Linked DNA regions of Oryctolagus cuniculus. The protein of the gene in region 1 binds, or shares a complex with, the protein of each later gene. Links are inferred from orthologs where the notes say so. Each region holds a gene or a part of one and is shown in the gene's direction. Other genes may lie near its edges. The genes, in order: ERCC2 and POLR2D.

Region 1 (3,799 bases):
CGCAACAGAGACCCAAGGGGTCGAGCCACCGCCTGCTGCCTCCCGGGGTGCCCGGGCTCTCCCAGCTGTGTGTGGGGGTGCGGCTCGGGTTGTCCAGAACCCAGCCTGCCCCTGCGGGGCGTGGAGGCCGGCTTCGTGGAGGGGCCACTCAGCGCCTCCATGTCCCCCGCCCCAGGTGACGCCGCTGCGCTTCGGAAAGGACGTTGATGGGAAGTGCCACAGCCTCACGGCCTCCTACATTCGGGCGCAGTACCAGCAGGACGCCAGCCGGCCCCACTGCCGCTTCTACGAGGTGCCGGGGCTCGGCCTGAGGCGGGCAGGCCAGGACAGCCGGGCGGCCACACCCCTGACCCCGCCCCTCTCGCCCACCAGGAGTTCGATGCCCATGGGCGCCAGGTGCCCCTCCCCGCCGGCATCTACAACCTGGATGACCTGAAGGCCCTGGGGCAGCGCCAGGGCTGGTGCCCCTACTTCCTCGCCCGGTACTCGGTGAGGGGCCGGCGGGGCAGGCGCAGGGGCGGCGGGTAGCACCCGGCCGCCCCTGCGTGTGGGGGCTCGGATCTGGCCTCTCTGCCTGGGAGGGAGCGAGGAGGCCCCGAGGCCCAGCTGACGCTGGCTCCCGGCCCCAGATCCTGCACGCCAACGTGGTGGTCTACAGCTACCACTACCTCCTGGACCCCAAGATCGCCGACCTGGTGTCCAAGGAGCTGGCCCGCAAGGCCGTGGTGGTCTTTGATGAGGCCCACAACATCGGTGAGGACGGAGCCGGGCCGGCGGTGACGCCAGCACGCACGCGCACACGCCCCCGCCCCCCCCCCCCGCCGGAGCCGCGCTGAGCCCGCCCCTCGCCTTGCTCCCCACAGACAACGTCTGCATCGACTCCATGAGCGTCAACCTCACGCGCCGCACCCTGGACCGCTGCCAGGGCAACCTGGAGACGCTGCAGAAGACGGTGCAGAGGTGGGTGCGGTGGGCGGACCCTGCCCAGCCCTGCCCCTGCCCCTGCCCCAGGCCCGCCCCTGCCTAGCCCCTGCCTCTGCCCTGCTCCAGCCCTGCCCCTGCCCCAGCCCCAGCCCCCGCCCCCGCCCCAGCAGACCCCGGACGCCCGGCCCTGTCACAGTGCCCCGGCACCCGCGTCCCTGCAGGATCAAGGAGACGGACGAGCAGCGCTTGCGGGACGAGTACCGGCGCCTGGTGGAGGGGCTGCGGGAGGCCAGCGTGGCCCGGGAGACTGACGCCCACCTGGCCAACCCCGTGCTGCCGGACGAGGTGCTGCAAGGTGAGGCCCTGCGGCTGCGTGGCCTCGCCGCGGCCCCGGCGGCCCCCGCTGACCCCCGCCCCGCTCCCCGCTCCCCGCAGAGGCCGTGCCCGGCTCCATCCGCACGGCCGAGCACTTCCTGGGCTTCCTGCGGAGGCTGCTGGAGTTCGTCAAGTGGCGCCTGCGCGTGCAGCACGTGGTGCAGGAGAGCCCGCCCGCCTTCCTGAGCAGCCTGGCCCAGCGCGTGTGCATCCAGCGCAAGCCGCTCCGGTGCGTGGGCGGGGCGGGGCGGGCGTGGGCGGGGCCTGCTGCGTGGCCAGTGCCTTCATCTCCCGGGCTTTTCCCTGGCTGTGGGTGGGTCCTGGGCCTCTGGCCGCACTTTCTCTGGGGCGGGTGGGAGGCACCGCCACTCTCTGGCCTTGGGGCTCTAACCATCCGTCCCAGGTCTCGGTCGCGTCCCAGTGCTGTGGGTGAGGACGCGGGGCTCTGACCGAACCCTCTGCAGGGGGCAGCCCTGGGCGGTTTTGCTCACCTCCCCCGGCCAGGCAGGGGGCTCGTGAGGACAGAGAGCGGGTCTGGATCACTCAGCACCTGTTCCCGCGTGCCTGCTCCGGGCTGGGGACCCAGCGGTGGCTGAGACAGCCCATGGCGCCTCTGGGCGTCTCCCGATGGTGATGGGCTGGAGGAGGTGGGAGGAACCAGGCTGCAAGAGGTGAGCCCTGGAGAGCCCTGGAGGCGGACTTTAAGGTCCCGCTGCCCGCCTGGCGCCAGCCTCCGGCCAGCCTGGCCTCAGCAGGGGCCCAGCGCTGTGGTCGCCTTTTGGACTTTGATCGGTGTGTGCTCTGCGGGGGGGGGGGGGGGCGGGGGGGGGCTGTGATGCCCCGTGCGCGCCCGAGGGGCTGTGCAGAGGCTGCGTGAGCCCGTGTCGGGCAGGGCCCTGGCGGCGGCTGTGTGCAGCTGCCCTGTGTGGGACAAAGGCAGGAGCGGCCACTCACCCGCGAGGCAGGTGGGCGGGGCCCCTGGTCCGCTGCTGGCTCCGCCCCAGCGGCCCCCTCCGCTGCCCCCCAGGTTCTGCGCTGAGCGCCTGCGCTCCCTGCTGCACACCCTGGAGATCGCCGACCTGGCCGACTTCTCCCCCCTCACCCTCCTCGCCAACTTCGCCACGCTCGTCAGCACCTACGCCAAGGGTGAGCTCCCCTCCGCCGCCGCGGCCGGGCCCTGGGCTTGGACCCTCGTGGCCTCGGGCCTGGGCTCCTTTCAGAGGCACCACAGAGCCACAGGCGGTTGCCTGAGATTTTTATTTATGTATTGAAAGAGTGACAGAGAAGAGGGAGAGAGAGAGGGCTTCCATCTGCTGGTTCCATCCCTAGATGACCACAACAGCCAGGGCTGGGCCAGGAGCCGGGAGCTTCCTCCTGGTCTCCCACGCGGGTGCAGGGGCCCGGCACTTGGCCCATCCTCCACTGCTTTCCCTGGCACATTGGCAGGGAGTTGGGTCGGAGGTGGAGCAGCGGGGGCTCGAACCAGCGCTGTATGGGAAGCCGGCACTACAGGCAGTGGCTTTACCCGCTGCACCACACTGGGTCCCGCCTGCCTTTTTTGTCTTAATTCTCGTTGGAAAGGCAGAGCGGGTCCAGGGCGCCCCCGAGTGCTGGAGTCACCGCCTGCTGCCTCCTGGGGTGCGCATGAGGAGGCACTTGGACAGGGTGTGGGTGTCCCGAGGGCGTGGCTGCCTGCTCGGACAGCCTGGGAGTGAGCCTGGTGCTCAGGCCTGTGTCTCCTGGCCCCTCTGGCCGGGGGAGGGTGAGCCCTGTGGGGTCGCCCACACCATGCAGCGTGGTCAGGACTTGGTGGCCGTGCGCCCTGTGGCACTGGGGAGCCATGGCAGGTTCCGAGTGAGGGAGGTGCTGGGTCGGCTTTGTGCCCGAGGAAGAGGCTTCTGGCAGGGCGGGGGGCAGGAGCGGAGGAGCCTGGGCGGGGTGACCCAGAGGCTGCGTCCATTGGCCCCGCCCCCTTCCTTCGCTCGACACCAACCCAGGGCTCAGTCTGATCCCTGGGAATTGCTGCCCTGTGCAGAAACCAGGTCAGGCCCAACGTCCTGCAGGGGGCAGAGACGGTCACCCCACCCCAGGGCCGGTCAGCAGCAAGTCCTGGCCGTCTCCTCCTCCAGGAAGCCCTCCCTGACTTCCTCTGTGCCAGCCCTGCCCACCCTGGAGCACCACTGCGCCCAGGGCAGGGGCTTGGATTATTTTTTTTTTTATAAAGAGAAAATATGTGAATTCATATGTTCATTCAACGAATGAGCTGGGCCCAGCACTGTGGAAGCAACAGAGCCACAAGACTGCCTTCCGAGACCTGGCTGGAGGGGAAGCTGGTGGGCGGGACCCCCAGCGCTGGTGCCTACAGGGCGCGGGGGGCTCTGGGCGGAGTCAGGCCTCAAGCAACCCGTGGAGCTGCCTCGGCCAGGGGCCAGCGTGTGCAAAGGCCCTGGGGGAGTGAGCTTCCGGGTCAGGCAGGCAGTTGTGAGCAACCAGGAAGGGG
Region 2 (4,267 bases), on another chromosome or scaffold:
ATCCCATATGGGTGTCAATTCGGGTTCTGGCTGCTCCACTTCAGATCCAGCTTCCTGCTAATATGCCTGGGAAAGCAGTGGAAGATGGCCCAAGTCCCTGGGCCCCTGCACCCACGGGGGAGACCCGGAAGAAGCTCCTGGCTTCAGATTGGTGCAGCTCCAGCTGTTGTGGCCATCTGGGGAGTGATCCAGTGGATGGATGAGCTCTCTCTCTCTGTATCTCTGCCTTTTGAATAAATAATTTTTTTTAAAGTAATACAGAGAGAAACAGAGTTACACACAGAGAGAAGGAGAGGCAGAGAGAGACTTGGGCCATCTTCTACTTCTTTCCCAGGCCATAGCAGAGAGCTGGATTGGAAGTAGATCGGCTGAGACTCAAACAGGCGGCGGCCCTACCCGCTACACCACAGCAACGGCCCCTCAAATAAATCTTAAAAAAAAAATGAATTCATAATAAAGATACCATAACTAGATAAAATAAATTCTTCTTTTTTTTTTTTTTTTTTTTTTGACAGGCAGAGTGGACAGTGAGAGTGAGAGAGACAGAGAGAAAGTTCTTCCTTTTTACCGTTGGTTCACCCTCCAATGGCCGCCACGGCCGGCGTGCTATGGCCAGCGCATCGCGCTGATCCGAAGCCAGGAGCCAGGTGCCTCTCCTGGTCTGCCATGCGGGTGCAGGGCCCAAGCACTTGGGCCATCCTCCACTGCACTCCCTGGCCACAGCAGAGGGCTGGCCTGGAAGAGGAGAACCCGGGGGGCCAGATAAAATAAATTCATAAAACACAAAACGGGCCGGCGCCGCGGCTCACTAGGCTAATCCTCCGCCTTGCAGCGCCGGCACCCCGGGTTCTAGTCCCGGTCAGGGCACCGGATTCTGTCCCGGCTGCCCCTCTCTGCCCAGCTCTCTGCTGGCACCTGGCTCCTGGCTTCGGATCAACTCCAGCCGTAGCGGCCATAAATGGGGTGAACCAACGGAAGGAAGACCTTTCTCTCTCTCTCTCTCACTGTCCACTCTGCCTGTCAAAAAAAAAAAAAAAAAAAAAAAAAAAAGCCCACAAAAGCATGGTCTCTCATTGGCATAATTTTCCAGGAACCATCCTAATGTCCCCATAGGTGGGTTAAAGGCCTCTGGACATCACTGTCCACACTCTCAAAAAGAGTAGATAATTCACTGCAAGGCAGTCAAATGTTTGACTGCTAACATCATTGGAAGAAATCCTACCGTAGGCTTTCGGGGTCATCTGCCCAGCTTTCCATGACCCGCCAGTCCCTGCATGAGTAGTCCCTTAGCGTGCCAGCGCATTCCACCTTTTCTCGGTCCAGAAAGACCCAGTAACCCCGCGGAAAACCAAAGCAGAGCCAGGGCCGCTTCTTCCGGGGCCCCGCCCCGCCCCGCCCCATCTCCTAGCCCCGCCCCGGGTCCCGCCCCATCGTGGCCAGGCTAGCGGCTCGCGGCTCGGCGCTTCCGCTTCCGGTGCTGTCTGTGGCGGCGCGCGAGACAGCTATGGCGGCCGGTGGCGTTGATCCGCGGGCTGGCGACGTCGAGGAGGACGCTTCACAGCTCATCTTTCCCAAAGGTGAGGTGAGGTGATGCGGGGCTATCTCTAATCATCGGTCGCTTCTCGCTGAATTCCTGGCCTCAGCGGACGGCCGGGGTCCATCCCGGCGCGGCGTGGAGCTGGGGGAAGGGGGACCCTGGCCCTGGAAGGATCCTGGTCGGGCACCGGCGGACCCTGGCGTCGCGGCTTCCACGCTCCCATCCCTGGAATGCTCGGCGCCCACTGGCATTTGCCCCTGCCGGGCCTCCTGCTGCCTGTGTTAGGTGCACTAGTGTCTTTTACCCGGGAACAGACTGCCATCTGCTGCCTCGCAGGGTGCATACCAGCAGGAAGCTGGAATCAGCAGTGGAGCCAGAACCAAATCCAATATTGGATGCTGCACGGGACTTGGGTTTCCCAAAGTAGCATCTGAACCACGGTACCTTCGTTTTGTACTAGAGAGAAAAATGTATGGTGTAAGAAGACCACTCAAGGGGCTGCGCCGTGGCTCACTTGGTTAATCCTCTGCTGCGGCGCCGGCATCCATATGGGCACTGGGTTCTAGTCTCGGTTGCTCCTCTTCCAGTTCAGCTCTCTGCTGTGGCCCGGGAAGGCAGTGGAGGATGGCCCAGGTGATTGGGCCCTGCACCCGCGTCGGACACCAGGAAGAAGCACCTGGCTTCGGTCGGCGCAGCTCCAGCCGTGGCAGCCATTTAGGGGGTGAACCAACGGAAGGAAGACCTTTCTCTCTCTCTCACTCTGTCTCACTCTTATCTGTCAAATAAATTAAAAAAAAAAAAAAAAGACCACTTAAACAAGCCACTCGTAAACCATTAATGACTGTAGTGCAGGAACCTCAAGAGAATTTCCAGGTGACTTACTGACCAAAGAATCATTTTAAGTTATTTGTGACCGCCATTTTTAAAATAGCTGCACTGGGGCAACATGTAGGTCCCTGATTTCACCTAGAAAATAATGAGTTTAGCCTTAGGGAGAAATATTGAAGCCTTCCTCTCCATAGTGTTTTCTTTTTTTAGATTTATTTGTTTACTTGACAGAGTGAGAATGAGAGCAGGAGGGAGAGAGAGAGATCAGAATCGCTCTTTCATCCACTGGTTCACTCCCCAGAAGGTCATCATGGCTGGGGCTGGGTCAGGTTGAAGCCAGGAACCAGGAACCCTATCTGGTCTCCCACGTGGATGGCAGGGGGCCAGTCTGTTGAAGTAGAATCCTGGAAATGTTTCTCAGGGGCTTGGTGGTATCACACACTCTTTGCCTAAGCCACTCCAATCAGCCAGTTTGGCTTTTTCTTTCTCTTTTCTTTTGTTTGGGGGGGTGGGGTGGGGTGTATGTTGTGGAAAGGCAGAGAGACAGCTGCCATCCACTGATTGGTTCCCCAGATGCCCACAGTGGCAGAGCTGGGCTGGGTCACCAAGAGCTGGGACTGCAATAAAGGTCTCCCACATGGGCGGGAGGGACCCAACTGCTTGAACCATCAGTTCTGCCTCCCAGGGTCTGCGTTAGCAGGAAGTTATAAATCTGCAGCTGGAACCTGAACCCAGGTCCAGGTGTGCTCATGTGGGATGAAGGCATCTTCCCTGCTAGGGCAAACACATGCCCTTTCCTTGACTGAAGAAAGTGAGGGTAGTGTGTAAGTAGTACTTGGGCATTGCCTTAGTGAGGAATGGGAATGAATGACTAGTCTCTGCTGTCCTGACATTCCATTCCCATTACTTTTGTTGTTAAATTAATTTATTTGGGAGCTGGCGCTGTGGGGCAGTGGGTTAATGCCCTGGCCTGAAGCATCGGCATCCCATATGGGCGCCGGTTCGAGACCTGGCTTCTCCACATTCCATCCAGCTCTCTGCTATGGCCTGGGAAAACAGTGGGAAAACATGGCCCAGGTCCTTGTGCCCTGTGCCCATGTGGGAGACCGGGGAGAAGCTCCTGGTTCTTGGCTTTGGATCGGCACAGCTCCGGCTGTTGCAGCCATCTGGGGAGTGAACCAGCGGATGGAAGACCTCTCTCTCTCTCTTCTCTCTCTGCCTCTCTTCTCTCTGTGTAACTCTGACTTTCAATTAAAATAAAAATCTTTAAAAAAATTAATTTATTTGAAAAGCAGAGTGACAGAGACAGGAGAGACATCTTGTGTTCCCTGTCCTCCCCCAGATGGCTGCAACAGCCAGAGCTGGGCCAGGCTAAAGCCAGGAGCCAAGAACTCCATCCGTGTCTCCCGTGTGGGTGGCACGAATTCAAATAGTTGAGCCATCACCCAGGTGCATTAGCAGGGAGCTGGCTTGGAAGTGGAGTAGCTGGCAGTCTGATTTGGGATGCTGGCTCCAAGCAATGGCTTAGTCTGCTGTGCTGCAAGTGCCAACCCTATCCCATTGCATTCACAAATAGATGTGGCTTAGTGCAGAAGCAGAGGCTTCTCTAACTTTGTTTGATTTCCATTTATTTTTTAATGAAAATTTATTTATTTATTTGAAAGGCAAAGTTAGAGTGTGAGATCTTCCATCCACTGGTTTATTTCCCAGATGGCCGCAATGGCCGGAGCTGGGCCAGTCTGAAGCCAGGAGCTTCTTCCAGGTCTCCCATGTGGGTTCAGGGGCCCAAGGACTTTGGCCATCCTCTGCTGTTTTTCTCAGGCCATTCTCAGGGAGCTGGATCAGAAGCAGGAGCAGCTGGAACTCAGACCTGCCCCCATATGGGATGCTGGCACTGCAGGC

What was found.
Region 2: ERCC2 (region 1) and POLR2D share a complex: the UniProt entries of both Homo sapiens proteins name them as parts of the TBP-based Pol II pre-initiation complex. The link is inferred for Oryctolagus cuniculus from reciprocal best matches to the Homo sapiens genes ERCC2 and POLR2D.

What each region holds. Positions count from the first base shown.
Region 1 is NC_091449.1:11,481,760-11,485,558, forward strand, and holds part of ERCC2 (general transcription and DNA repair factor IIH helicase subunit XPD), read left to right. Parts: intron 1-175; coding exon 176-292; intron 293-372; coding exon 373-489; intron 490-629; coding exon 630-753; intron 754-863; coding exon 864-960; intron 961-1,145; coding exon 1,146-1,279; intron 1,280-1,359; coding exon 1,360-1,528; intron 1,529-2,326; coding exon 2,327-2,445; intron 2,446-3,799. UniProt on the Homo sapiens protein: ATP-dependent 5'-3' DNA helicase. Component of the general transcription and DNA repair factor IIH (TFIIH) core complex, not absolutely essential for minimal transcription in vitro.
Region 2 is NC_091434.1:121,247,662-121,251,928, forward strand, and holds the start of POLR2D (DNA-directed RNA polymerase II subunit RPB4), read left to right. Parts: upstream 1-1,415; 5' UTR 1,416-1,504; coding exon 1,505-1,577; intron 1,578-4,267. UniProt on the Homo sapiens protein: Core component of RNA polymerase II (Pol II), a DNA-dependent RNA polymerase which synthesizes mRNA precursors and many functional non-coding RNAs using the four ribonucleoside triphosphates as substrates.